2 linked regions of the Astyanax mexicanus genome follow. The protein of the gene in region 2 purifies or fractionates together with the protein of the main gene of each other region. This does not show direct contact. Links are inferred from orthologs where the notes say so. Each region holds a gene or a part of one and is shown on either strand. Other genes may lie near its edges. The genes, in order: zzz3 and kat14.

The links.
Region 1: the proteins of kat14 (region 2) and zzz3 purify together in Homo sapiens (affinity purification with mass spectrometry; 4 studies listed by BioGRID and IntAct, with this or other methods). This does not show direct contact. The link is inferred for Astyanax mexicanus from reciprocal best matches to the Homo sapiens genes KAT14 and ZZZ3.

What each region holds. Positions count from the first base shown.
Region 1 is NC_064415.1:55,919,799-55,935,576, reverse strand, and holds the start of zzz3 (ZZ-type zinc finger-containing protein 3), read right to left. Parts: upstream 5,735-15,778; 5' UTR 5,630-5,734; intron 4,266-5,629; exon of another isoform or gene 3,950-4,265; intron 1-3,949. Other genes in the region: usp33 (ubiquitin carboxyl-terminal hydrolase 33), read right to left, coding at 8,690-8,847, 9,626-9,694, 9,969-10,071, 11,210-11,318, 11,395-11,476, 12,553-12,722, 14,746-14,872, 15,601-15,778.
Region 2 is NC_064430.1:23,799,707-23,815,621, reverse strand, and holds the start of kat14 (cysteine-rich protein 2-binding protein), read left to right. Parts: upstream 1-8,640; coding exon 8,641-8,899; exon of another isoform or gene 8,900-9,119; intron 9,120-9,778; coding exon 9,779-9,900; intron 9,901-11,120; coding exon 11,121-11,242; intron 11,243-12,357; coding exon 12,358-12,539; intron 12,540-13,455; coding exon 13,456-13,875; intron 13,876-14,794; coding exon 14,795-15,040; intron 15,041-15,828; coding exon 15,829-15,915. Other genes in the region: protein PET117 homolog, mitochondrial, read left to right, coding at 7,278-7,373, 8,110-8,250. UniProt on the Homo sapiens protein: Component of the ATAC complex, a complex with histone acetyltransferase activity on histones H3 and H4. May function as a scaffold for the ATAC complex to promote ATAC complex stability. Has also weak histone acetyltransferase activity toward histone H4.

The sequences.
Region 1 (15,778 bases), on a different chromosome or scaffold from region 2:
GCATTAATGCAAACAGTGAGAAGATATACATAGAACATCTCCTTTTAAACACAGAACCAGCATACAAGACTCAAGTCTGTCAGCAAGTATCTTCAGATAACAGTCGAATTTAACTGCTTTTCTCATTCTCAGCTCTTATCTGTCTGAAAACGCTAAAGCACATCATGCTCTAGTGTTACTAAGACTCCAAATGGGCTGTTATCAGAGCCTCTCAGGTGCTCTTTTTAGTACCAGCTTACTAGCTCTGAAAATCAAACAGTCCATCAGAGAAACACTGCTGACTCAACAGAAAATAAAAATGTTTATGAAGTTAGGCTACCATTAGATACATGTTAAAAACAGATTTTAAAACTACAGCAGCAGCAGCAGCACAATTATATTAACTGGCTAATCATTGTTTCAGAAATAACACTTCAGGAGTTAAAGTATACACTAGTGGAGCTAAACTGCAACTAAAGCACACTTAAACACTATACATTTATTTGATGAACCAAGCAGTAGCACAAACTTCATCTAAATCTCTATCTGGACGGGATTAGTTTCTTATATATTTAGAAAATATTTCACAGTGATAAAACTCCTAAATCCTGGACTGCAATTAAAAAAAAAGGAGGAATAACAAGATTTTTGGCTTTCTCCGTCACATGACATCACGTTCAGTAGCTCCTCCAGTTTTTTTATTAAACGCAAGCTGATGAAATGCAGAGATGTGGATCCGGACAGGAATAAAATTACCGGAGGACCACAGAGTTCAGAGAAAAACAGTAGATAATTCAGCATGTAATTTTCTCAGAGGACGTCTGGAAAAAAAAAAAACACGTACATGGCCGTTCCAAAATGGAATAAAAAGAAAATTACCCAGGACCCCCTGAGAAACTAGTCTCATCCGGATATGGCTATAGTCCTCCATTTACAAGTTTGTTTAGAAATATTTGGCCTACGTTGAAAAATCTAGCAGAGTAATTTTTTTTTTTTTGACACAGTTAAACAGTTCTGTTTAAGAACTACAGATGTAAAGCTACTCAGTTACTCTGTGCTGCATGACTTGCTACAAAGACTTAACACTAAATCCGCATAAAATCCGCAAACTCCAGCCTAATTGTCACTCAGCCTACATGATTTAATATTTCGCACTGATTAACGTCTATCGGAGAGATCCGCTGTGCCCTTTGCGCTTGTCAGAACACATCAAATATCCGCCTGTTCATTCATACCAGCCTCTGCTTATTCAGCCACGAGGAGCAGACATATTCATCTTGCTTCACGGCCTTGAAAAAGGAGGCACCTGGACAGAACTGTATATGTATTCCTTTCACACTCGGCTGAAGACTCCTGCAGAGAAGCTAATGTGATTTGACCATGCATAAGAAAGACAGAAGCCAGCGGGAGCAGCAGTGTCAAGCGCGGGTTTAAAGACTCTCTTGTGGGTTTGATGAAGCTAATTTTCAATTACTACGTATGTAAAGTTAAACACCACACTCTGTTTTGCCCTTTCAGTAAAGAGTGTGTTCACTTAACACGTCTTTGGGTTCTACTCAACCCATCCATTTATCCATTCATCCAGTGGGATTACAGGTTCACGCATGAGCGTCCCATTAGCAGTGATTTAAGTTTTGACACGTGCATCAGGTGTAATGCACAGATTAAAAGCAATGGTGCACAAGGTACAATGTAATCCGTTGTGAACTCCAGCCCTCATCACAGATACAACAGCTGTTACTTACTAAAATTTCCAGAAGCAACAATTAACATCATCAAAGACATGATCATCCGAACGTTATTTTCACTTGTGCTTCTTGAAGATCTGCTTTAATGTATAATAATTCAGGCGTTTTATAATTATATATATTGAACCTCATGTTATTACACATATTTATTTAACTATTTATTTAATCACAATACAGAGGTTATGATTCGTTATACTGAAAAAAAAGAAAAAAACTAAAGAAACAGTAAAGTAAGAGTTTAAAGTGTTATACTGTGATACTCAATGTACTGATAATTATTTTACTATTATTAATATGGCACCATCACATTCACACAACACGTGACAAAGCAGATTGCTTTTAGGTTACATTCACATTGCCAGACGGAAGTGACTCATATCTGATTTTTAGCTCAATGTGGCTCAAATCAGATTTTTTAATGGCTGTGTGAACATGCCAAATCATATTTTTCCCAAATCAGATCTGAGCCGCTTTCTTATGTGGTTCTAAATTGGAAACGTATCTTAAGTATGTCTGGTCCAGGATGACATTTTACAGTCATTTGGTTTCTCTGGTCTAAATCAGTTAATAAGCATGTTTCCCCTTGGTTTGGTTTCACACTAGAATAATAGTTCTGTCTGCTTTTTGGTTAGACCAAATTATCAAAACTCAAACTTGTAAAGTACATTTGATAGTTGGGTTGGATCGAAGTTGGAGCCTCTTTCACCACAAACAAACTGTTCCAAGGTTTATTTGGGACCAGACTGAGACCACCTCTTTTTAAGGGAATAGGTGTGGTTATTTTGGTCTGCAGCTGAATGTGATTATCGTATTCACACCTGCCTAAACAAATTGCACCAAGGGTGAAAACAAACCAGAGTACAGTTTAACTAAGAATCGCTGGTGTTAAAATGCCCTCAGTTTCAGCAGTGAAGTGAAAACTTCTGACAGGAGATGCAGCTATATTAGGTAGCATGAAAGTAAACGCTATATTGGCTAATGTAATTTTAACAAAATGGCAAAATAAGAAAGACTGCTGCCAGTGGACTACAGAGAACACTGGAGGTGTTCTAAAACTTTTGACTTGTGGTATACATACGGTATACATAAAATACCTTCCTCTAAGTTAAGTTGCAAAAATAAGTCTGACACCACCAAACAGCAACACCTTTACATATATTCAGCCTACAGCAGATTCAAATCAGTATATGGGTCGTTAGTCACTTATCAGCACTGATGTAAGGTAACGTAATTATTTTTGGTCATGTTTTTTTTTTAATCGTTGTTTTTTAATGAGCTGAACCACTATTGGATGACAAGTACATGAGATCAAGAGGTAGGGTTTCATTAACATGCAAAATTGTTTTAATGCATCAAGACATTTACAATGCTATACTTTCACCCCCTCCCCAACATCATTTAAAAGGAATGACAAGGCCGCCAGTTCCAATTAGCATAGTTGTGCCTAACCTAGCCATATTTTTATAGCATTGATTATATTAAAATCTAGTTTGAAAAAAAAGGGTGCAGAAAGAGTAACTACATTCCCCATTTTAAAATAAGACCTGATGATAATCAATTTTTATTGCTAGTTTTATGTCCAATTTCAATGTGCATTTTTAAATTGATTGGACTGTGGGTCTGAAGAACTTACGTAAGCATTCTGCTTGTATTCCTAATCAAGTCACTTTCATTTATAGCCCTAGTTCAAGGTGGTTCTGTTTTGGAGGCGAAAAACTGCTCTAACACACAAACAGGAGAACAACCAGTGTAACAAAATTTAGCAGGTGTCATCACAGCTCTCTAGATTATTTAATCATATGATAGCATAATTTTGCAAGCGCACATTGTGCGTCAGATAAAAAACAAACATAACTGCAACAGTAGCTTGAGTTATATGTCTGCACTGCGTTGTGCAGTGACTATTCTCTCTGGTCAGTCAGTGCTGTGCTGTGTTTACACATCACTCTTTGAAACAAACAGATAACGTTACTAAAATATATTAAATACTTAAACAAAAATTAAAGAAGAAATGTGAAAGAGAAGTACGATAAAATTAAACAGGTGTAAGTATCCAAAATAAGCCCTATCCAAACGAGATTAGTTTCTCAGGGGGTCCCTATAATAAATGTACAAAATATAAATTAAGTTTTACACAATATTGTGCATCTTATATGATCGAAATTAGCCTCAATTTAGCCCTAAAGAGTCCCAAAACTGAACTGATACACATCCCAACTCACCTTTTTCAACACTGTTTACGATTAATGTAACGTTAAATCAGCCGCACTGTTGGCACTTTTTCCCCGCCGCCTCCTGGCCTGGCCTGCGCTGTACTGGAGCCGCGGGTTTGCGTGGTAACCGCTCGCCGGCTCCGGAGCTTATACTTTGGTGTACTCGTGGTTGCTACCAGGAGAACTCGAATTCGTGATTTAGCGAAAAGATTTAAGATTTGGTATTAGACAAACAGATTAAAAAACGCTTTATCATGTAGTTTGATAGATAACTAGATAACTAACGAACCTAGCCCAAGAAACGTGCCCCTTTTAGTTATCCGCTCCTCTAACTAGCTAACATCAGCTAGCTACAGCGGCTCACACACAACCCCTCAAGCCGACAGAGCGGCGCTATCCGTGGGCCGCGGGTCTCTGAGCCGCTCCTTGGTAGGTAGCCGGGCAACCGTGCTAGCACGCTAGCTTGAATTAAAGACCTGGTGTTCTGTCGAGTTGTGCTACCTTGTCACACAGTGCTACCCTAGTAGTATTTCATGTTTAAAAAGGTAAAACACCATATCAGAAAACATATTAGAAAATACTCCCAGCAGAAGCCTAGGTATGATATGCAGATCAATCACTTCATCAGGTAAAGTTAAAACTTTTAGTTCAAATCATTTTTCATAGTTTTCTAGTTAATTATTTATTCTTAACCTTTCCATTGCTATTTTCTAACTGCTATTTACAGGTTATTATTATTGTTTTTTACAATCATTCAATCATGTTGTTTAATGCTACTAATAAAAACTTAAGGAATTGACATGAAAACATTATAAAAAAAAATTTTGTTTAACGCATGCGCAGTGCCGTAAAGAAGCACGTATCGATAGGTAGCATAACTCGACAGAACACCAGGGCTTGGAAGGTTTTCTAGCTAACTCGCTAAGCACAAATTTGACTTACGTGCCCGAACATTTTGGGGGACGGTTTCAATGGTGCAAGGGAAAACTGAGCCAAGTTAATGTTAAATAATAATAAAATAATAAATAAAATAAAAACAGAAGAAAAGCCACTAACTTACTTTGGTGTTAGTTAGCGTTAGCTAAAGCTAGCTAAGATAGCATAACACCGCAAAGCAAGCGGTTACACGGGTTGCTAAATTAGCTAACATAGCTAGTTAGCTAAGCTAACTGTATTTTTTAGATAACGTTAGCTACATAATTTATATAGCCTACTAACGTTTAAAAGAGGTGTTTGTTATAAAGTATAGTTTAATTAGTGTTAAATTATATGAATACGTTGATATAAATGTGTGTATTTAGGTTTGTTTTTTTAAACATAAGGGCCTACGTGTTGTACATAGCCTTACCGTCGCTTAGCTTAGCTAAAGTTGGAATAGCGCCGTTCCACCTTAAATGGTGCAGCAGTTAATATTACAGCGCACGGGTGCCTCAATCGAACTGCTGCACCATTTAAGGTGGAACTACTAAATTCCAACTTCAGCTAAGCTAAAGCGCCCGATTCGATGGTTTTAACTTTCTCTCCTCTCCTGTTCAAACCATCATTCTGCTTTTCATACTATGCTCACTTATTTTATAGAATGTAAGCTTTTAAAAGACGCACACGAAAAGCTTGGGAACACTTTTGAAAGCGAATTATTTGGAAAACAAATCGGTTTCTCAAGCAGGAGAATTGTAGCTAGCTACTTACCTCACTTCCGCAAAGCGTCTGCTGCACAGTCGGCAGCTGCCATGTTTTTCTCCACTGAACTGAAGTGTGTGTATGAGTGTGTGTGGGGGAGAGAGAGGGAGGGAGAGAAAGCGTGTGTGTGTGTGGGGGAAAGACAGAGAGAATGGTACATCCATCCCACAAAAACCCAGATTGTCTTTGTAGATACAGTAGTTAGATGGTTTTAGATGTTCCCAAAAATGTAAATATTATTAAAAAGTTACTTACTTATTTAAGTAATTCAGTTCAAAATGTGAAACACATATATTATATAGACGTATTACATATAGAGTGATCTATTTTATTGGTTTATTTATTTTATTGTTAATGATTGTGGCTTACAGCCAAATAAAAACCCAAAGATCAGTGTCTCAGAAAAGTCTGGGTGGTGTTCCAAGTCCTGCTGGAAAATGAAATCCACATCTTCATAAAAGTTGTCAGTAGAGGGAAGCATGAAGTGCTGTAAGATTTACTTGTAGAAATGGATTGTAGAAATTTAATTTAATGTAGGACAATAACTTTACAGGAGTTACTACATCTTCTTAACCTTCAATGGAAGTCAATGTGAAAAGAATTTTCAAGTAATTTTTGATAATTTCTATTGGTCCATTTATTAAGAAATTTTGACACAGTGTAAAGGACACTTTGTGTTCAAATTAGGTAGTAATCTAAAAATCTACCACATATACTCAGAGATATCTACTACCAGAGATACTTGTTTTAAATGGGAAAAAATTACCTAAATGCCTTTTAAAAGTGTAGCATTATTCGATCAGTTAAACAGACTAGAATTGTGAATATTTAATTGAAAAAAATTAAATAAGTGAAACCACAAATCCACGTTCACTGAATAATTTTGGGTTTAATTTGTTTCGGCCAACCAAAACAAAAAGTGACAGACGTAGGACTCATTCTTCCCATACAGCTTTCATAAATGACAGATATGTCAGTCCTCTATTCCAGTCAATGAGCATCAAAAAAATAATAAAAAGAAAAAATAAATCATGCCATTATATACATAAATTAATGCCTCAATCTTTAATCAGTTGTAGTAGATTCATGTCTATTTTTCTTTATTTTATACATACAATTAAATGTGTGCCTTGTTCTTCTAGAGCAGCTCTGCATCTACATGCAAGTCAAGTGGAGTTTCAGCCTACAGATCATATCTTTCGTTCCAGCATGCATTTCATATCAGGTTTGGCTCGCTGAATAAAAAAAGAAAAAAAAGAAAAAGAAAAAAAAAAGTATAAACATTATAGTAAATCACGTTACCCCTTCTGGAATAAATAACATAGAATGCAAGAAACTCTGTGTTCATTAAGTACGAGTACATTCAGATAGAAATCGGACATCAGTATTGGAGCATGCAGAGCTGGAGGCCTACGGAAACAGTGCAAAACAGAAAAAAAAAATTACACAGTCCTTTCCTGAGACTATTTAGCGCTTCGGATCCCTTCACAATCTCAGGCGGAGCAGTGAAACGTCCGCTCCCTAGGACGGACATTTTCCTTTTAAAACCGGACAACGAGTACAGTACTACGCATTTTAATTCTTCACCAAGTTCAGCTAAGCAACTCACAGATTATTCTCTATTTGGTCACAAAAAACGGTACATTTGTTTTGCTCCCAAAAGGCGCCTTTTCAAGGATCTACCTCAAAGGAGCGATAAGCGATATTTTCGCTAGCCTACTGGCTGAACCCGTGGGTCTTTTTTTTTGTACAGAGGAAAGATTAGTGCTTTTCATTGAAAAAGTAGGAAAGGAATGCATATTTCCAGCGATATTCTAGCTTACACACATTTTCTATACGTGTCTGAGGAAAGTTTCACTTGTCGCTCCTTTAAAGAAACGGTTTGGTGTAAAATTTTACATTTTCCACTTTGTGGAATGATGGTTGATGTGGATCAACCAAGACATTTAGCAGTTTTGCTTCTTTAGCTTACACTAAAAGCCAAGTCATCCAAAAATCACTCAAACTGCAAACTGCTGAGTAGACATGTCTGTGTTGTTGTTTAGGGTGAAATAAGACAAAAAGTGAACTATAAATATGAACAAAACCTCACTGTGAAACTGAACGTTTGTGATTTCTGTTGTTCCTTTTTTTAAAAGAACCATTACTTTTGAATTCCATTTTAAACTTTTTAAAATACTTTACATGTATATAAATAGTAATACAAATAGCAAACATAATCTGTGGGATTGTGTGAGGTTGTGGGGCATGTAGAATTTCTCCTAGCTTTAGCTACGTGCTAGTTATTAATATGTTTATCATTTACAGTATGTCATACTGTATCCTGAACCACATTAACAAGCCTGTGCCATTTTAAGGATGACATTAATATGGTTTAAGTGAGTTCAGACATGTGCAGGCTGTATCTGCAGTAATAACTAATTGGATAACTATTAACATTCACTGTTTGTATCAACAATAGCTTTCAAGCTCTAGCTCTAACCATTTTATTTAATTTAATTTAATTTTATTTTATAAGGGTTAAGCTTGAGCACACTGCATCAGTGCCAACAATAAGCAATTCACCAACATATGGATACAATATTAAAAAACAAAAGCAATCAGTAATGATGATTTGGATGACTAGTGACTTCCAGTGTTCGTTAGCCTCATAACTCCAGCGCTAAACTAAAGAAGCAAAGTCTGTGAACCTCAGCTGCCTTGGTCGATCAACTACCTTACCTAAGGTAAGTGTGAACATGTGCAAATGTGATTTTTCACCAATCCATTCCTCTAAAGCCTAACCTAGTCACCAGTGCCAATAGAATGTGGACAGACAGTGCTGTATATACAAATACGAAGCCTATTCTGAGACATATTCCACTTCTCTGCAGCAGGGAATGGTTCACATATGGAATGGAGACTGTGGTGGAGGTGTGTGTGTGAAGGAGGTGTGTGTGTGAAGGAGGGAGGAGACAAGGCATGGTCAGATCTTTTGCTCAAATGCTTTAGAGATGAAAAGAAAGAGTCAAGTGCAAAATAACAGATTGTTTTCCAGTCCCCTGTTAAAAGGGCAGCAGGTTGAAGCTGCTACACACTGCGTGTCTCCATTTCGATCTTCTCCTCGGCCTGGGAGCTGTCCACCTCCTGGTGGCTGACGCTGGGCCGCACTGTCACCACTGGTCCGCCTCCGTGGATGGAGTGGAGGAAGTTCCAGGTCTCCTCAGATATCTGGCCTGAATCTGCACCTGTTGGGGGCAGCGGAGGAGAAATAAACCAACGTTTAGAGTGAAAAGAAGAAGCAAATCTGGTCCCTTTAAATTATTAGCTCATTAAACTCTACTGTTGCTGAAATAAATGCCGTGGCAGCTGAAGCTGATCACGCTGATTAAGTTTGGTTGTGAACATCTTAACTCTTTACTAACATATGCAATGTTTTAATTTGTGTATGATGGTTTAGCTGGTCTAACAGCATAATCAAAATTACCATGCTGCTCGACTGTCAAGACAGAACTGGTCCAGAACCACTAATCAGCTTAGTATCAACAACAAGTTTAAACGAAACTGGTCTCCCAGCATGACCTTTAGAACAATCAGTTTTAAAGGGTTTAAAAGGTTGAGCTCGGGGTTATAAACTAAGTAAAAGGCAAGTGGGAGGATTTTCAACTTTATGCAAACAAGGTTCTACATAATATCACCTTCAAGAGGCTTTTCAACTAGCCAAAGAACTGATTAAATACTGATTAATTTTTTGTGATGAAACCTTTAAAGAACTCCTTTATACAAGGAAGACATAAATTCTTAAATAGGTTCTATAAGATGCTTTGTATCATAGTGAAGAACAGTGTAACCAGGCAAAGACCATTTAAAGCAGCCTAACAGTGCTTTGATTAGTCAGGACTCAGTATAGAACCATTTAGACACATAGCATAATCTGATTAGGAATGAGAACTACAATGGTGGTAATATCGAATGCTATTATTATTTTATAATAATGACAAAGTAAATTCTGATAAAGAACATTACCTTGCTTGAGGGTGATGTGCCCGTTCTTATTCACAGCGATCTTAGAGTTGTCAATTGGTCCTGGCGGATCTGGAAAAACAACGTGATTAGATTATTATATTAGCAAAATGCTATGCTAATCTTAGCTGAAGATGATTAGCATCTGACTATAGAGAGTGCAAATGACTCAGATGCTAGAAGCATCTATAAAGTAATTGTAAAGTATGTACTGTATTAGTAAAATATTGCTTTCTCCATATGTTTTGGCCTGTAGAAGAAATATTTAGGGCATTTTATAAGCTTATAAGAATAAGCTTTTGATACAGTTGATGGGGGGAGGTGTGCTGCCGTGTTCATTACTTACCATTGTCTTTGCCTTTGACAAAAGCCTCCCATTCTCTGAACCAGTGCATGCTGATGCAGTAAATAACCACCGGAGACTCCTCCTCCTGGAAGGCCTTATTCAGCTACACACAATACAGAGAAACACAAACAAAGAAATAAATCGTCAGTCAGCTGGAGAGTCAGTCAGTGAAGGAGAGAAAAGGAAAGCACACGTCTCTCAGAACACCTCTAAGATTTACTGGCTCTTGTAAAGAACGCCCAGCTTTCAGCCTGAGAGAAAGGAACGCAGCAGCTGAAAGAAGGCGTAATGAAGAAAGACAGAAATTCATTTCCTCTGCCTGCGCTCTCTTTTCCCTTCAGCTGCTCTGAGACGCTGTAGCTGAAAGTGCATCTGTTCTCATGAATTAATAATGACACCCAGTTTTGGGGACTCGGGCTTCTGATCTTTGCTTGTGAAAATGGTGTTATTGAGGGTGGAGGAAATGTTTGTTTATGTGTGTGTGTGTGTGCACAAGCTCGTGCAATCACACCAATTCTTAGAAAACACTCAGCACCACACATTTGTACAGTATACCATTTGTATAACTGATGTCACAAAGGATTAAACACCTAAAAACATGAAATATAAAACTCCCACTAATCAAGCTAAAGGTGACAGTGATAATAAAAAGCGCTCCTAAAGCTGGAGGAAGAAACCCAAGGAAAAGTCACAACCCCTTTTTACACGGGTAAGGATTACTATTACGGGAAAAGGTCTTACTGTGTTCGTTGGATATATAAAAAGACTGGAGTATAATAACTGGAGGTGCCAAGTGGTTCAGCAAGCTAAATCGCAGCCACTATGATCAGAAGCTTGCATGTTCGAAACCTGGTTATGCAGCTTGACATCCGCTGGCAGAGCCCTGAGAGAGCACAAACGGCCTCCCCCTCCCCACATCACACCTAGTGGATCAGCATGCGGCGTCTGTGAGCTGATGTATAGCACTGTGATGCTACTCGGCAATGCTGCATAAGCAGCAGTTCAAAAATAGGCGGAGTCTGACTTCACATGTTCACACGCAACTCCTTGTGCTGTGGCATCACTAGTGATGAGGTATATACAGCTGTCGACATGGAAGTGATTGAACCTGAGAGTTCAATAATTAAGATGGGCCAGCATATACTTTTGATAATAGAATGTATATTATGGGTGATATAAAGTTTGCATTGAATTGAATTCTGCATTTGCTTTATTTATTTTGACTGTAAAACTCCAGTTACCCGGACGAACATGTCCAGCTCGTTCTTCCGCCGCTTCTCCAGCTTCTCGATCTCCGTCTGACAGGTGTGGCAGACGTACAAGTGGTTAACAGCAGGGCCTCCTCCATACCTAAAGCAGAGAACCAACGGTTAGACCTCCCTCCAGCCAAACACACCAACATCCACAACCAGATATTTGGACTTACTTGCTGTACAGGTGGTCCCAGACGTTTTGCGGGAGCATTAAAACAAGATCATCGATGTATGCAGCCTTATGTGGTGGTACACCTGTGTAGGTACAGAGTAAAATATGCTTCGACAAGTTCCATATATGTCGTTTTTTTTTTTAGATTTTGTACAGCAAAGTGGCTTGGTGGTTAGCATTGTACATAAATACAACGTCATTTACTCATTCATTATTATATATTTTATGTATTCTTTCCTCTATTATCTTATTATTTGATGTGCCCAATCAAATGTCAAAGTATTTCACTGCTATTTGTACTGTGTATAACTGGGTATGAAACAAAATAGACTAAGAACTCGAGGCCTAAAAGAACTAAGACATGCATGTACGGTCATGCTCTAGCTGTTAGCCTCTTTTCCTCTTTTTTATCTCAGACTCAAATCCCTGTAGGATTCAGAGCAGGCGGAGCTGAAAGCCACTGAAACGTCCTTTAAAAGACGCACCGCCTTCTGCAATCACTGCTCAGCTGCCTCGACAAGAAAAGAGGAAGAGATGGAAAGTAAACACAATCAGCAGAGAGGAAGCGAATAGGCCTTGCCCTCCTGGCCCTCACACAGTTGGCAGAAAGCGACGTTCTGCAATGTGGAACTGTGAATGGCTCGGCTAAAGTCAAGGTTAGGGTTGTAGCCAGGGAAACCGGGAATACTCCAATACTTGGACACTCAGCAGGGCTGAACAAATATTATATATATATATATATATATATATATATATATATATATATATATATATATATATATATATATATATATATATATTTCACTTATTAATCAGAACATATTCATAGCTATTACAGGCCTTCTGGATTTTGTCCTAATCACAGCTTGACCACAATTTTCAAGTTTTCAAATTCTTAAGTTTCATGAAGCGACTCGGTTCTGATACATCAGCTCACAGACGCCTTGTGCTGATCCACATCACCCTAGGAGTGATGAGCTGAAAGAGCGCCAGAAAGAGCAAGACCAATTTTGCTCTCTCATGAATCCAGCAGCTGAAGGCAAGTTGCATGACCGGGATTCAAAACCAGCAATCTCCCGATCATAGTGGCAGCATTTTAGCCCACTGGACCACTCTGCCTACACCCTACACATACATATTCTACAACCTTCTCCCTCACCTCCATGAGCACACAGGAAGTCGTGGTTGGAGATGGGACCAGGCTCTGCGAAAGTCCTGAACTTGTTGAGCCACTGGCGCGAGATGTAGAACTGCAACAGGCTGGGCTCCATCATGTTGAGCAGCGCCGTCACCCTCCGCCTCTCCTTCTGAGCATCCTCGTTGCTCTTCCTGTGGCAAAAAAATAAAATAAAATACAGGGTCAGAAAATTTAACACGCTTGCATATCTTCAAGACGTATCATGTGAGGGCTCTAGAGCTCCCCCTACAGACAGGAAGCTTAAGTCACTTTTACACAACTTCTGTAAATGTACAGCTTTACACATGCATTTCTTGACAAGCTGAGAGATACAGAAGCAGCATCTGAAGTGAAAAAGCAAAAATACAGGATTTTAAACAAACATGTCAAATGTAGTCAATCACACAAGAGGGACATTTGGGGAATGGAATTTGAGTTAAGAGGCTAATGCAGACCACAAGCAATAAGTTCGTGTAGTTCAAGTATGGACACTAAGCAGAAAAAACAGCCAGTTTACAATATGTTGCTTTTTATTTCACTTAATGAGCATACAGCAGTTTAGCTAGCTTGGCTAACTTGGCTAACAGTTTGGCTAACTTGCATATATTAGTCGGAAACTGTCCTAAACAGTAACAAATGCAACCTGTTAAAAAAGAAAAAAAAAGTTTAGAAAATGACGATTAGATAAATATTGTGATATCCAACAGTTTAAGAAACAAACCACATTTTTTGACAATATTGGACACAGCTAATTCTCCACTGTTCTCATTTCCCATGACATATCTACTCAAGATAGATTAGAGCTGCTCAATTTAATTAATGTTACTTAAATCTTGATGAAACAAAGTGAATTATAAATATCATTATATTTCTTCTGGCTTCTGTAAATCTGCAATAAATATCATGTATTGTCAATTTGTCCCCAATACTGTACAGCTCTATTTAGTAGATAGCTCCAAAAAGGGATTTCATTTCTATTATGAATGAAAGATTCCTGTTTCAGTACTATACAGAGCTTTTTAACCAACAGCGTGACCCTGAAATGCATTCCCAGATAAAGGACTGAACTCCCCACTGCTGGCCAGGGTTAGTAAATAGGCAGATTTGGAGTTTCAGGTTCACTGCTGTAATTACAACCTTGAGTATTATCCTTCCAGCAACAGCTGGGCCATTAGCCGTCCTTGAGAAACCAGCAATCATAGAGAGCATGGCCACAGTATTTTCTTTTTTGTATTTCTACTAATTATTAGCTGCAATCAACAGTGGTTGTGAGTCACTGCTCTACACAAAAGCACATTTGTCAGCCTGCAGTTTGCCATTCTGAGTAAAAAACTTCACACACCATCTAACAGCATTATATAATACAGTCACTGGTAATGCCAAGTTCTCTGATTTAATCTAATAGACATAGATGAATAAAATCTATTGTGAAGAAAATATGATTTTGATGCATTGAGCACTATACTAAATTAAATAAGGCTGAGATGGGGAGGTTAGTCTTAATGGAAACACCCATTTAATAGTTATTTTTATTAAATATCATAAATCATCATAAATTAAATGGCTGCATAAAGGGTCCTGCATTAAAAAAATTGAATATGTAATACATAAAAGTGCAAACACAGTCAAAACACACAGTTGCTAAAGTTGAGGCATTTAAGACTAAGACTACTGTAATTACTTTTAAGCATGGTGGTGGTAGTATCATAAGCCATTTCACTGTTAAAACATAGGTAAAATGGGTTGGAATAACAGACAGGGAGGACCAGAGAATTGACAGTTTTTCTCCTGGGCTCCCCCTACAGGCCATACCTTATATATCATTCGCACAGTTTTTTCTAGTTACCAGAACAACCCTCAAACTGTTAACAGCACTCATACATAAGCTACTGTGAGTATAGAGATATTAGCATGACCAACTCCTTGTACTTGCACTCAAGAAACACAGCATTAAAACTTAAGATGACAAAATACCAAAGAGAATATCAGTGAGAGAACGAGTCTGTGCTAAAATCACCAGATTAATTTGCTCTAAAAGGAGACTGCACCACAATGCACGTTTTAAAAGTACTTTTTCACATGCATGATGCAACATTACACATTCTTACCAAATGCTCAAAAGTTACAGACTATGATAAACACCTTTAATATAAAAATATTTTTTGTGGGTCTTACTTGTAGAAGAGCACGTAGGCTTCAGCGTTCTGAACGCAGGACTCCGAGACCTCAGTCACGCTCTGGTCATCAAATTCATACCACAGCTGGTTCAGATCATTCCGGCAGTAGGCAATGTAGTGGCCGCCTGCACACAGAAACCATCAAATTAGAAACCATTCATGTTTGCTAATGCTATAAGGATACTTATTATTTACTTAGTATTTTTTGGACTAAGTATAAGGCACCTTAAGCAACACTAGTAAGGATGCCTACATCGAAGTGAGCAAGGTTGTCTCCATGTTTCCCTTCTAATGGGGAAGCTGGGGGAAGAGCCTAAATAAACAAAACTGTAATTCAAAAAAAAAGCCAAACAAGCTCTGGATGTTAATCTACACGTTTATTTGGGTGAGTAAAGTGCTTCTGTTTATTAACAGTAAGCTTAGATTTCCAATATTTTGTCTAAGGGTGAGTTTTCAGTGAAGTTTCTCCATCACTAAGGCTGGGTGCAGCATCTTTAGCATTAGCCGCTAAGTGAAGCGCTAGCAGGATGTAAATGTAAAATCAGCTAGCGGTTCGTCTCACGTAACTTGTTTTAAAACGGCAAACATGCAGACAACAGTCCAATATACAGTCCAATACACCTCTGAATGGTGGAAGAGCCAGCCGTGCGGTTAGCAGCTAATGCTAATGCTGCTGCACCCAGTCTTAGTGCAGGAGAAACTTCACTAAAACTCACCCTTAGCACGCTGTACTTAAGTGGAGTGGCTTTACTGCTCTTTATAATACCTGACTGGTAAACTTCATACAAAATGCACACCAGATTATAAGGAGCACTGATGATTTTGGGGTAAATTAAAGGAAATAAATACTCACTGCTGGCCGTGCCATGGTGGCAGATGACGGACAACAGGTCGTAGGTGGTGATCTGGGCCGAGCTGTCCTTGGCCAGGAAAGGCTGCAGGTCCAGACCGTCCAGTGGGAAGGAGACGTGAGTGCTGATCTTAGTGGAGAACATCAGCTCGTGTCGGAAGCGCTTCAGGTGAATGCACAA
Region 2 (15,915 bases):
CTGGACCGTGTTTTTAAATACTTGCCATTCTGGATGTCCTGAACATTTTCATGCATATTTTTTATGTCGGTTAGTTTTATTTATATAAAGTAAGACCTGTAGACCTGTACTTTATTGGATAAATTGATACAGCTACCATGAACTGTTTTGTTTCTGTTCTGTAAAATCAGGCCCCGTTCCAAAAGACACAACATCCTCAGTGTCCTGGAGCTCCAGCTGAAGCAGTGGCCACTCCACCTTCTCCATCCCCACCCAAAAGAGGTTGATGAATGTATGTTAATACATTAATAGCTTAATATTATTACTCTATTTGTTCTTATTACTGACTTACCGGGGGAACTAATTAAGGGACGGAAACACACACAGAGAAATGTGTTGGCAGTGCTGTTGCTAATTGTACTGAGTGTCTGCAGTGTACTGGGAGGATTGTGCTGGGTGCTTATTGTTTCTCAGGTGGTAAATCATGTTTGTTGTTGAATGTGCATTTTTTTTCCTTCCCACCTTGTAAAATCCTGCCTTTGCAGTCCACTTTAAAATATTTCCAAACAGAGAGGTGTAATACGCTCTTTCGATCTTACAGCTGCTGCTCACACTGCTAATAAATAAAAAACAAACCCAGTTGATTTTATCGGAGCGCCAGTACCCAAACCCGACTGACTAAAACTTTCAATCGTAACCACCTTACACTTAACGATTGAGATGACACGACCGCAACTCAACTGCAGCTCTACTCTAGCCAGACTCTCGTGATTTTATCCTGACTGGAAATTTGTCTGCAACTGTGAAATCATTGGAAAATCGTTAGGTACCTGAACACTCTTCTCTCTTCACCCTTAATGTAGCAGCTACCCACTGGATAACTGTTTGCCTGTTCTATAGCGACTGTAATTTCCTTCTGTCTGTTTCTTACACTCTGTAGGTACTTATATATTTTTTTTATTTAACGTGGCAGCGTGCCGACAATCACAAGTATTGCAAATGTTGGGATAAATTTCAGCCAATTTAACTTTACTAGAATGTGCTCTGTGTACTCTGCAGGTACTTCTAAGGCAGCTAGTTGAAGGCGTGATTGAGGTCCATGCCAGAGGGGTTCTGCACTGTGACCTCAAGCCATAGAACATCCTGGTTCAGATGTACAGTTAGGAACCACGCCTTCATCTTCTGTTCTTCTGGTATGGGTTTTCAGTGAACACTACAGGCAGAGAACTGTCTTCGTAGAAGCTACCATTACTGAATAGAGATTCAGGTCAAAAACATTCCTTAACGCTCAGTCACTGTCTCTAATTTACTTTTCAGGACCTTCCTCATGAGTGGTTTACCCATGAGGCCAAATCCTCCACAGTGTTGCAGATAGGAATCATCCTGCTGTGTGTGAGAGGTGACCCTTCAACACCAGCACAGAGATCACCTCAAAGAAGTCTCAGATCATCTCTCCACCATCTGCTCTATGACCCCTGGCTAAGTATACACCACGACACAGCCACCACATCAGTCACACCTCAGTCAGGTACCATATAAAACAATAATAATAATAATAATTTTAAAAAATCTATATTTTCAATCTCTAGTTTAGAGAGTTCTCTAGTAGAGCTGGGCGATTAATCGATTTTATCGATAAATTCGAATTTATAGTTAAGGACAATGTGTTTTTATGAAAATTGATTTTCTCTGAGTTTTCTTTTTCACCACAGACGCTCCTCTGTGGGCACAGAGTGAGCTTAGCTAGCTCCCTCCATACCTCCCTCCCTCCAGCACGCGCACCCCCCGCCCCTCCCTCACTCCCTCCCTCCCTTGCACGCACAAACACACACACACATACACAAAACACATGACGGCGAAGCTTAAGAGCAACTAGCTCCGTGATCTGGAGTTGGTTCGGTTTTGCGGCGTCGGACGTAGACCAAACAGGTCCTCGCTGTAAGGTGAACCAATTTATCACTATACCTTAAACAGAAGCATGTAGCGGAGTGGGAGAAGTGCTGCTACCATAGGAATGAACGCAGCAGCAGCACCAGTTCACCATTCAACGTTAATCAAGGAACTGTCCCTGGCACATCTTCCAACCGTGTACCAGGTTTTGTATGCACTACAAGTTAAGATGTTTTGCATATTCATGAGAAAAGATCTCATTTTATAGAACACTGGCACTTATTTAAATGCTTTGTTTTGCAATTCTAGCCCAATAGGGAAAAGTATTTACTTAAGAGCATATAAATTGTACTTGTTTTCTATTGTCTACTTTGTAAGTTTTATCAAAAAAGGGCACCATTTTATTTATTTCTATTTGTTTTTAAGGGTGTGTTTATTTATTTATTTATTTTTTAAGTTTGAGGGTGCATTGTGTCAGTACCTAAACTATGTTGGAGAAAGCTTTCTAAAAGTCACTAGATGTTCTCACTGTTTACAATAGTTTTTTTTGCTTGTTTCTGGTTGCACTTTAACCACAAATGGAACATTTTAAGTGAAAACAAATTAAATAAGAACTAGTTTTTAACCATTTCTTTATCATCTTTAGTTTGATTTTTAGTAGGGGGAAAAAATCGATTTAAATCGAGAATTGGATTTAAACAAAAAAAAATCTTAGATTTTTTTTTTCGGCCATATCGCCCAGCTCTATACTCTAGTTTAGAGGGTTTTTTTTTAATAAAACACACCTAAGGAAAATAGCAGGTATTAATAAAGCTATTGATTCCATACTTTTAAAAAGGTAATGATTTTCTTTAACTATATAAATGTTTTAATCGTTTTGTGTATTGTATGCTTTTAATTGCTTCCTGTTTTGTATTTGTGTTCATGTACTTAAGGCTTTAATCCTTTTATCTTGACATTGTTTATCTTTTGATGTTTATTAATTACTTAACTGTATTTATCTTTATGTAGTATACTGTTAGTGTTTTAATCCATACACTTTTTGTATATATTTCTTTTATTGCTTAGTTACTTGCTTTATTAATGGTTATTGTATTGATGTTTTAGTCTTATTTTGGGCTTATATTCATTAAAAACATTTTAACGTTTGTCTTTTAGTGCTTTAATCAATTAATATTGTACTTACCTTTTACTATTTTACTATTAATCTTTCTGTACTTAATTATACATTATTTTATAATAAAATTAAAGGCGGGTTTATTAATTGTATGTCTTTATACGGGATTTTATATTTGCATTGTATATATTTTTGTTTCATTTAATGTTTATGCTCTTTGTCTTTTTCAGATTTTTACATTTTTAATTTGTGTATTGACCCAAGGAGTATGGGTTCCTCTCAAGGTTTCTATCTCTCTTTCTGAGAGAATTTTCTTTGCCGCTGTCTCCTTTGTGCTTACTCAAAAGAGGTTTGGACACTTTTTTTTTTTTTTTTTTTTTTTTTTTTTTTTTTTTTTTTAACTGTTCTTAATTTTGTTTGTTTCTTAACTTTGTCAATAAATGTTTTTTTTATTGCTATCACTTGTGTCTGTTTATTTGATTACACTATCGCTAAGTTTCTTGAAATGTGTTTATGGAAAAAAAATAATTTTAATATTTTATTAAATGTGGATTTGATGCCCACATTCAACCACTTTTTAACACTTTAACTAAACACTGAAAGAATCAATCAGAAATTATTGATTTATTATTAATGTAATGAACAGAGATGTTCTGAAGTTAAAAGCTGATTATCCCATGTGTCTCATATTCCCAAATATGATAAGGTGGATAAGGTCATGTCAGCTCCAAGGACAATTTCAGTTTTGTATTTCAGTGAAAGTTATTCCTTTAATTGAATTTATATAAATAATGTATCTGGTAATATGCAAAGGCTCTCAGTGTTGTTACACCTTTTTGTTATACTTAAAACCAAAGTGTAATTTTCAACAACTCTATGTGATGTTTGACCACTTAGGAATTACACTGACATTACTTCTACAAGTCATGGGATAGTAGGTTTGAGGCTGATCATGAAGTGTTACCTCAATGTATTGGCCAGTAATTTATTATTGAAGGTTATTCATTCAAATTTATTGTGACTGGTGGTCTGCCTACAATTGTCTGTGCAACTCTGAGAAATATCTATATACAACTTTTAAAACGATTAAAGCTTTGGGATTTACATGTGCAAAATTAAGCCCTGCATACAGAAATATACTGATAACTTTCTGATGCTTTAAAAAATAAGAATCAAAGGAATCAAATTCCAAAAGATAAGCATTAGCATTTCAGAAGTACTGTCCGAGGTCAGCATACACACTAGAAGAACAGAGAAAACAAATCACAGTTCTTACAGTCTGCTTGTCTTATGAGACACTGCAGTATCCCTTTATTCATCCAATAACATAAATTATACATTAATAAAACATCTGTTTTATTAGAAATAGTTGTTCAAATTACAAATTAGCACCCACAACTCCACAGAGGTTGGAGGACCATAATTTAATATAATTATATATTTAAGTTACATGATTTTGAGCATATTACTACATTATTTTGCCTTTCAAAAAATGCCAAGTGAGCAAATCAAATCTAAAACTTTTTTTTGTTCCCCCTCTGCATGTGATACATAGAGATCAGTAACATCTTTCAGTACAAATGGTCTGTAAAAACAATATGAAATTTGAAAAGGAAAAAAATACAAGCTACAAAAAATGTAACTTTCAAAATAAATTCATGGTGATCACTTGATTATGACAGAAATGGACACCTGCTAAAACCACATACCTATCCTTTTGGTTTGAGGTAAATCTGTCTACCACAAACCAAAATATACAATTACAGTAGAGGAATCCTGCTTTAAGATATTTGGCCTCAGATGCATCAGTAGCACTTTACAATTAATTTACATTGTTTAACCATACTTATGTTAGAATGCCTCAACTAATTATTATTATGACACTAGTTAAGATATTAATTCCTACAAAATGTTAAAACTGATATCGCAATTCATCTTTGTTTACAACATTCTTAAGCATTACAATTTAGAAATGTTAAATAATATTTACCACTTAATTACCACTTAATGTTTATTACAGTCGTAAGTACTGTTATTTTTTACCCTGATTGTAAAGAGTGACAGATGCATCAGTAGCTGGGTAGAACAATATGAATATGACTGCTGTCTAAATAAATTAAAAAGGCATTTTTTTACGGCAGCCTCACGCTGACACAGGGTCCCAAGCAGTGATGTTAGTAACGCGTTACTCTAATCTGACACTTTTTTCAGTAACGAGTAATCTAACGCGTTACTATTTCCAATGCAGTAATCAGATTAAAGTTACTTATCCAAGTCACTGTACGTTACTCTCGCTCTCTCTCTCTCTCTCTCTCTCCACCTCACACACACACACACACACCGCGTTCCCTTCCCCATCCCCCTCCGCTCTCCCCCAATCACACGCGTCTCGCTTTCTCCCCTGTCTCTCTCGCGCTCGGCGTGTTTTTAGTTTCCGCCCATTCTCGTTTTTCCGCCAGTTCTCGGGCTCCCTATCTCTTTATAAAGGCGGGTTTTCCCGGCCACGTCCCAATTCACTAGCCAGGGCAGCGGTCTGCACAGATCTGATTGGCAGAGGAGAGCGTTTGAAGATTTTACACCACACGTGATTGGTCTGTGAGTTTCCCATGCCGCAGAGTGCGTATACCGTAAAGACAAGAAAAGTTCTGACGCTTTAAATGAACACTGTCAAAATTAAATCCTTCTCAGTAGTTTATCGGTTTGGGTCCGCATTGGACAACGTCTGGGTCCGGACCCGGACCGCAGTCTGCATATATGTGATCCCTGGCCTCGACCATATACACGGTTCTGTTTTATAATACCACTCCTTGCTGCCCTGCAGAGAACAACAGGTTCAATATTCAGTTTTACAGTGTTAAATATGTCAGGTCAAGAAAGACTTTCTTTATTTTATATATTTTTTTATAAAAACAAGTATTTATGTTAAGTGAAATCAAGAAAGACCATATTTTATTTTTTATTAAAAAAAAATTATTTATGTTAAGTTAATTCAAGAGAAATGGTCTTTTAATTTTATAAAAATAAATAGTTCAACTTTAAATGTCTAGAGATACATTGATGCTGTTAAAATGCTTTTTCCAATAAAGGGAGTATTGGCAAAACTGGTTATAATGTTTATGTTAAGGCGGCGGGACGTGGTGTCTGCAGCTGCTGAAAGTAACTAATAAAGTAACTTGTACAGTAACTTAGTTACTTTTAAAATCAAGTAATCCATAAAGTAACTAAGTTACTTTTTAAAGGAGTAATCAGTAATCGGATTACTTTTTCAAAGTAATTATACCATCACTGTTACTTACACACACACACCACTCACAGTGCAGGACCACACACACACACACACAGAGGACATATGAACATGTACTGTGACCTGCTGTAACACAGAGGTCAGAAGGTCAGAGCCAGAGGCCCAAATGATCCAAACAACATCCCACTTTTTCTTTACTGTAAATATTTCTAAATATTCACAGTGCAGGACCACACACACACACACACACACATACAAACATTTACACAAACATACATACACACACACATAATTTGCCAACAATTAGCTTATACTATTTTTTCAGTGCAGTGGGCGGGCACCTGGAGGACAAGTTACTGTTTTATTGGTTTATAAATTTGTTCATCGGCTGGTTTATGGCCTATTCTAATGGACAACAGCTCTCAAATAACGTTTTGTGCAACAAAACATTAGGATTCTCGAAGTGACCTGTTTTTATTTTTTAGGGAGCCCTAAAACAGCTTTAAGTTGTGCTACCCTTTCAAACCGTGCTACCATAGTGTATATTTAACTGTATAAATACAAAAGGAGCACTTTATTAGAGCATGTTCCCAGTAGAAGTCCTTGAAGATGTAGGTTACAATATTTGGATGGCATAACTCTCTGTACTGTGGCAAAGTTGTGGCAATGAGAGGACATAAAAACTGCTTTAGCTTTTCTTTTTATAATAATTGTTGATATATTTATTATTAATTTAATGTACAAGTTCGTGCAGTGATAGTTGGACAGCTTGAGTCCAGAGTCTAGTGGTTTAATGCACAAAAACTAAAAACTAATTTATTATTTAATAAAAACAAGAGAAGTAATGAAAACGTTTAGGTCAGCGCATGCGCAGTACCTTTAGGAAGCACGCATCTCTCCAGGCCAACAGGCGGCGGAGCGGCGGAGAAACCCCCGGTTAAACCCCGGTTAAATCCGGTAAAACCCCGCAGAGGAAGACCGTGTGCTGTAGTACCGCGGCTAGGCTAACCCGCTAACCGCCGCTGTCCTCAGTAATGTCCTTTAACGATGTCTACCGCCTCTAAACTGGTGCTCGGAGTCTCCGTAGTTCTGACGGTCAGCACGGTGATCGGAGTTCACCTTAAACAGAGCCAGGACCAGCAGGTAACATACACACACACACACACAGAGGACAATACAGACATACAGTGCAGTAACAACAATAATAACGCGCTACTGTAACTATAAGACACACACAGACACAAACAGCAGAATTAACCCGAGATATTTTATCCTAAAATATGTTAAATCTCTTAAATTCTCTTTAAACTGCAGCTGAGAGAGTGGCAGCCACATGATCCTGTAATCACTATACACCGATCTGCCACAACATTAACCCCACCTCTCTCTCTCTCTCTCTCTCTCTGTGTCTGTCTGTCTGTCTCTCTGTCTCTCTCTCTCTCTCTGTTTGTGTGTCTGCCTCTCTCTGTTTGTGTGTCTGCCTCTCTCTCTGTCTGTGTCTCTTTGTCTGTCTCTCTCTCCGTTTGTGTGTCTGTCTTTCTCTCCGTTTGTGTCTGTGTCTGCCTCTCCTGTCTTTGTCTCTTCGTGTGTGTGTTTGCGTGTCTGTCTCTTTGCCTGTGTCTCTGTCTCTCTCTGTGCCTCTGTCTCTCTCTGTGTCTTTCTGTCTGTCTGTGCGTGTCTCTCTGTGTCTGTCTCTCTGTGCGTGTCTCTCTGTGTCTCTTCCTCTCTATGTCTCTGTGTCTGTCTCTCTCTGTGTCTTTCTGTCTCTCTGTGCGTGTCTCTCTGTATCTCTTCCTCTCTGTGTCTGTCTGTGTGTGTGTCTCTCTGTCTCTCTATGTCTCTGTCTGTGTCTCTGCATCTGTCTCTGTGTGTGTTGCAGAAGCTGCGTGAGGGGGTGGTGAGAGATTTGGAGCGTTTGAGGAGGAAGCGTGAGAATCTGGAAGCTCTGGAGGAGCAGATAAAGCTGACCCAAAAGCTTGTACTCGAACGAGAACGACAGGAAGCCGCCAGGGGGTCCTGAGGGGCCCGTCTGAGTAGGTAGAGAAATTGCCTGTTTCTTTTAGATTTGAAAAAAGATGCAGAGCTTTCAGACCTCAAATAATGCAAAGAAAAAAGTTTATATTTATAAAGTTTTAAGAGTTCAGAAATCAATATTTGGTGGAATAACCCTGGTTTTTAATCACAGTTTTTTCATGCATCTTGGCATTATGTTCTCCACTAGTCTAACACACTGCTTTTGGATAAATTTAAGCTGCTTTACTTCTGGTGCAAAAAAAAAAAAAAAAAAAAAAGCAGTTCAGTTTGGTTTGATGGCTTGTGATTATCCATCTTCCTCTTGATTATATTCCAAGTTTTAGTTGCTAAAATAAGAGTCTTCTGTTCTTTGTTTTTTTTTCTCTCAGAAGGAGACATGGACAGTGGGGATCAGAGGAGTCTGACGGGGCAGGATGAAGATGCTTTGTGCACATCAGCCTCAGAGGGTCTGGAGGAGGGAGAGGTGGAGGGAGAGACCCTCTTGATTGTGGAATCGGAGGACCAGGCGTCCGTGGATCTGTCCCACGACCAGAGCGGTGATTCTCTGAACAGCGATGTGGGAGAGGACGGAGATGGCAGCTGGAACGAGGACATGTCCTTCTACTGCGACAAGTGCCACAAGTGGATCGCTTCTGGTGAGGGGACGGCACAGTGCCCACGAGTGATGGGGGTGGCAGGGAAGTGGCTGGCGGTTCCTTAAACCAGCCATCGGCCTCATAAACATGTACTTCACCATACATATATATCACAATACACAATATGTAGTTCACAAACTTTACATAGTTCACAAGTATGGAGTCGTGGATGTGTATACTGACCTTCTCATCTCAATAAAGTCTTTTCCTGAAAGGCAAAGTGCATGTGGTCTCAGCTCAGTCCTTGTTTTTGCTTTCTTTCCACTCGTTTCTTTTTCTCAAATAAGAAAAAGCTGAAATTTGTAAACAGTATGGCCGCCATATGCAAGTTAGTCCTTCTGAACAAAAGCCACATTCACTTCAACAGTTATATCTTTTGACTCCTTATGTTTAATTTAACTACAACTTACAGGCATATTCAGCACATGATTCTGAGGTGCCATATCAAGTTTGGCAGACATATGTGAAAAGGGGGCGGGGCTAAAGCAAAAAACTGACAAAAATCAAAGCTGCAACTTTGCATACAGAATCTACAATACTACAACCTCTAAAGCTGGACCTAAGGGCAACTTCATTAATCAAAATAAAAAAAAATGGCAGGACATCATCCTCCAATCAGCATTCAGCAGGCTTTTTATTTTTTTTTTTTTTTGGGCAGACTTCTCATTTGCCAGGATCAGTATGAAACTTAGGTGTACTGTTCAGGTGGGAATATTGCAGTGACCTGCACAGTTTTGAAACAATTTGGCCACTAGGGGCGCTACTTTAGAAAATCAAGTATATGTCATTTATACAGTAATATTTTGACATCTACTTGGTTTTGCCGTATTAAGTACCGTGTTTTTGTTTTCTTTCCACTCGTGTCTTCTGGTCGTTTAGCTCAGCTTCGAGGAGAGCAGCCCAGCTACCTGAAAGGAGACAACTTCTTCAAGTTCATCTGCTCCGACTGCTCCGACGACGGCAAGGAGAGCTTCGAGAGGATGCGGCTCACCTGGCAGCAGGTACACAGCGCGGAAGATTTCAGATTACTGTCTTTAAAGTAGGCCTGTGTCAAAAATTATGTTCTCCACTTATTGTATGATAAATGATGAACATGACCAATCACAGCTGCGGTATAGGTTTGACTAGGGGTGGGCGATATGGCGATATATATATATATATATATATATATATTATATATAATTTAGAGATAACGATACTCTTGGTGATGTGGGGAAAAATATATATATTTTAAGAATACACTCCTGCAAAAAAAAAAAAAAAAAAAAAAAAAATTGTTACTGCATATGATATGATATGGCACACCCCAAACTGAGATATTAAAAAAATACAAGAATTTGAAACAGAAGTCAATGATCCAGAATGTCATTATATTAATAATAATGCACTCCAAATATCTCCATATATCCAGGATTAAAGTAAAATAAATGATACTGGACAAATATAATCTGTCTCTAATAGATATATAATGGGAAATGAGAACGGTGTGAATTTTTTTTCTGCTAAAAACAGTAAAAAAAAAGTAGAACCCTGATGTGATAATTAGGGGTGGGTGATATGGCACCATATTTCAGGGTATAATATCGTTCACCATATTCAAAAAAGGTTGGCAATATTATTGCGTACGATGAGATATGGCACATTCCTAGGTTTGACACAGAAATATATATTGCCATTAAAGTTCCTATGCTGGAATGCTGTGTTTTTCTTTCTCCAAACATAATTCTTTACATTTAAATCATAAAGATCTGTTTTGGTCTCATCTGTCCAGAAAACATTCTTCCAATAGCCTTCTAGTTTGTCCACGGGATCTTTAGCAAACTGCAGGAGAGCAGAAATGTTTTTTTGGAGAGCAGTGGCTTTTTCCTGCCATGCACACCATTGATGTTTTGTGTTGTGTCCTAATGGTGGACACACTTAGCTTTTAACAGAATTGTAAATTAATCTACAGGTCACAAATACTTCACAAAATTCTAGAAAATCTCAGCTTCTGGACCAAAAACCTAATGGTTTCTTTTCAAAGCTCTGTCGGTCAATTCCATCATTTATGCAACAGTTTGAAAACTCATCTTTAGCAGCCAAATGTATTTTCATTACATTATATAGCAACACCATATCAACCCCCAGCAACACCTTAGCAACCAATGTATAAAAGTATCTGTACTCTCTAGTTGTGAGACTCTGATGAAGATTCTAAAGAGTTTTATGCTCATCTATGCAGGTGGTGATGCTGGCCATGTATAATCTCTCTCTAGAGGGAACAGGAAGGCAGGGCTACTTCCGGTGGAAGGAGGACATCTGTGCTTTCATCAACCGCCACTGGACCTTCTTACTGGGGACAAGGTGAGAGAAGGAACACCCAGATAATACCTAGCTTAGATTATCTGCCTGGGAAAATAGTCGGGCTCAAGAAAATAATCTGCGATTTAGGCGTCTGTTTTTTAATGCTATTTTTATTTTATATAAAGCTATCACGTGATAATCACTATATAGCAAAGTAACACATCAAACTGTGTTAAAAAAAAAGTTGCAGTGTATAGCCTTATTACAGTTTTTTTTGTGTTTTTGCACATAGACTATAAGCTCAATATAAAAGAAAATATTTGCTTGTTTAGAAAGTATTTTCTATTCTTAAACCATGTTAAATTAGATACAATATTAGATTAGAGGAAAGTCTAATCTAATTTACCAAGGTTTTAGGCATGTGGATCATTGTTTGCATTGTTTTTTATATGGTATTTTAATATTTCAAAGCTCACTTCTTAATAGACATTTTTTTCAAATAATAGGTCTGCGCTTCTTCAGTGTTGCAATGTTAAATAACATAATTCTGAAAAGATTTCGCTCATTCAAACAGCTCGAAAAATGTTTTTAAAAAGCTCAGTTTTAACGCTTTACTTGTACTCAAAAATAATGTGGGGTTTAATTCGGGCTCGGGCTCAAATTGACAGTGTATGGGTCGGGTCAGGCTCGGGCTGAGTTGGGCTGGGTTGGATTTTTTTATATTTTTATGTACTTCAAAGTTATAACAGCTTTAACTCCTCTCTGGAAGGCTGTCCACAAGGTTTAGGTGTGTGTTTATGGGAATTTTTGACCATTGCTTTGTGGGACCGTTCCCAAATTGTTCCCGCAAAGAGATGAGAGCATGAAATTGTCCAAAATCTCTTGGTCTTCTGAACTATTTAGAGTCAATTGTACTGGAACTACGGAGGCGAGGCCAAATCCTATAAAAAGAAATATAGAAATAGCCCCACACCATAATAATAATTATCCCCCCTCTACCAAACTATACACTTGGCACAGTGTAGTTAGACAAGTATCGTTCTCATGGCAAAAGCTAATCTGTGATTTATTATATATATATATATATATATATATATATATATATATATATATATATATTTATTATTATTATTATTATTATTTTATTTATTTATTTTTTTTAAACCCTTCCTCAGAAAGAAGACCTCCACTTGGTGGAGCACAGTGGCAGGGTGTCTGTCTGTGGGCAGCCCAACGTTTTTCCGTTCGGGTGCGCAGGAGTTCGGAGAGCCCGGCTGGTGGAAGCTGGTTCAAAACCGCCCTCCAACCCTTCGGCCGGATGGAGAGAAGACCCCCACTTCTGCCCTTAAAGCAAAAGGTAAAACTCTCTGCACACTAGCATGTGTCTGAGATCAAGCTCAGGTGTACTTGGGTTCTGCAGCAGGACAATGACCTGAAGCACACCTCCATTTATTTTATTTTATTTTATCAGATTTGTAACAGAAGTCAATTCTGATCCAGAATGTCATGATACTAATAACAATGCACTCCAAATATCTCCATGTATCCAGGATTAAAGTAAAATAAATTATACTGGACAGATATAATCGGTCTCTAGTAGATATATACAGCTCTGGAAAGAATAAAGAGACCGCATCAGTTTTTGGATCAGTTTCTCTGATTTTGCTATTTAGGTTTATGTTTGAGTAAAATTAACATTGTTGTTTTATTCTATAAACTACTGAAAACATGTCTCCCAAATTCTAAATAAAAATTTTTTCATTTAGAGCATTTATTTACAGAAAATGAGAAATGGCTGAAATAAAATAACAAAAAATCAGAAATCAATATTTGGTGGAATAACCCTGGTTTTTAATCAAAGATTTTTTAATGCATATTGGCATCATGTTCTTACACACTGCTTTTGGATAGCTTTATGCTGCTTTACTCCTGGTGCAAAAAATCAAGCAGTTCAGTTCAGTTTGGTTTGATGGCTTGTGATCATCCATCTTCCTCTTGATTATATTCCAATTATTTGGTAAAATCAAAGAAACTTCATTTTTAAGTCTCTCTTGTTTTTTTCCAGAGCTGTATAATGGGAAATAAGAACAGTCTGAAATAAGAACAGTCTTTTGCTAAAAAGAACGATATTTCAAAAACGTTAGCAATATTATTGCGTATGAAAGATATGGCACGCAGAGACATTTTTGGTATTGAATTTTGATACCTAACGCGTTATATTGAGGTGTGATAAATATTTATCTCATGTTTCCATCATCTCTCTCTCTCTTCAGCCGCGTCTAAGCCATGTCTGGACCCCACCATCACGGTGGAGGGCCTGCGGAAGCGAGGGGGGCGTAACCCGGTGGAGAGCGCCATGCAGCTGAAGGAGAAGCGCTCTCGGACGCAGGAGGCTAAAGACATCCGCCGTGCTCAGAAAGAGGCCGCCGGCTTCCTGGAGCACAGCGCCTCCTCCACCCCCGTCAAACTGGGGAACCGCGGGCGGAGACCGGACCTGCTGCTGGAGAAGGGGGAGGTCATAGACTTCTCCTCCATGAGTTCATCAGACAGGACCCCCCTCACGTCTCCGTCCCCATCCCCCTCGCCCGACTTCTCCGCCCCCGGCACGCCCGCCTCTCACTCGGCCACGCCCAGCCTGCTGTCTGAAGCCGACCTGATTCCTGACGTCATGCCCCCTCAGGCGCTGTTCCACGGTGAGAACCCTGCAAACCCAATCCACTTAAAAATGATGAGTTTCTTTGATTTTACCAAACTGAAAACCTCTGGAATATAATCAAGAGGAAGATGGATGATCACAAGCCATCAAACCAAACTGAACTGCTTAAAATTATGGCATAAAGTTATACAAAAGCAGTGTGTACAACTGGTGAAGGAAAACATGATGCCACGGTGCATAAAAAAACTGTGATTAAAAACCAAACTTTTTTTTTTTTTGCATTATTTATGGTCTGATAGCTCTGAATTTTTTGTTATTTCAGACATTTCTCATTTTCTGCAAATAAAAGCTCTAAATGACAATATTTTTATTTGGAATTTGGGAGAAATGTTTAAAGGCTCAAGCTACAATGTTCATTTTACTCAAACATAAACCTATAAATAGCAACTGAATAGAAACTGAAGTCGTCTCTTATTTTTTTTCCAGAGCTGTATTTGGGTTCCACATATACAGTACCAATCAAGTGTTTGGACACAACTTAAATTCAGTGTGTTTTTTTTTTTGTTTTTTTTTCCATTATTTTAAAAGTTCAACATTGTAGATTAATACCAAACTCATCCAAACTAGGAAGAAAAGCATAGTAAATAGTAAATATATAATTCATAACTTCATAAAAAATGAAAATAAGAATTTCAAGTAGTTTGAAAGTATCCTCAAGTGCAGTCACCGCAAAGACAATCAAAATCAATATGATGATAAAACTGGCACTCATCAGGACTGCTTTAGGAAAGGAAGAGCGAGAGTTTCCTCTGTTGTACAGGATAAGCTCATCAGAGTTACCAGCCCCAGAAACAAACTCAAATTAACAAACAGATAAGAGTATCTTAATGTATTTTGGTTTGTTTAAGAGTTAATAATTTCTGGTTTGAATGTTTTTGTGTATCTCTGTGCTCCAGATGATGAAGAGCTGGACACTGAGGGCGTGATCGACCCCGGCATCGAGTGTATCCCTCCTGCCACTCTGCCCTTGGCTGCAGGGACGCTGTTTGTGCGGAAGAAGCAGCAGCGGCCTGTTGAGCTCATCAAGCAGGAGCCAGAGAGTGAGGATGAGGAGCGAGCTCGAGATGCAGAGGGAGAGGAGGGCCAGGACGAAGGCCTGAGGACCCGAGTTCCTGCCGGCAGTGAGCGGAGGAAGGAAAAAGGTGGGTCTGCCAGCAGATTGTTTTTAAATTTGAATTATCAGACAAAGATAACCTGAATAAATATAAAAAAAAAGCAGTTTTTAAAATGATGATTTTATTTATTAAGGGATTTTGGAAGGTTTTGGAAGATTTTATTCATGTTTACTCAGGTTATCTTTGTCTTGTAAAAATATCAGAATGACAGAAAATGCAAAAACAAAGGAAATCTGTAGGGTGAAATTAGCGATGGGCGATTATAGCATAAACCAAAAAAAAAAAAAAACAGATTTTCGATTATAATAGATTATTTCCCCCCCCTACTAAAAATTAATCAACAGATGACAAAGAAATGGTTAAAAACTAGATTTAACTGTTAAAAATATATATATTTTTGTTCAGACGCTTTAGGTTGAGTCAACTCATTAAGTGAATCAATGATTCAATGCATTGTTAACAAGCCTATGCTCATGTTCATATCAGGTGGTGACAGACACTGGATTAAACTTCAGAATGCGGGTTTGTGATGGAACATTAAGAAATGAACATTAGTCTGTTGGAGGTAGCCAGGGTAAGATGGATAAACACTTCACAAATGAGGAGCGTTTAAAAGGATAAAATGTCTGTATTGTGACTGCGCCCCTATGGACGTGGAAGCCGTGTCCCGGCAGTCAGGAGGAAAACGGAGACAAAATTGTGAAAATCGTTCTAGTTGAAATACTTTTCCACGAGACTGTATATCTGAATTTAAATGTTATTTTATTTTATTTGGTGGAAAGACGTTTAAATATGTATATATATTTGTTGAACAGCTCTGGAGAAGGTGGAGGTGGGACCCCGCTATGCTCTGCTGGGTCTGTATGAGGAGCGCATGCTGCTGCGCAGGCTGGAGTCCTGCC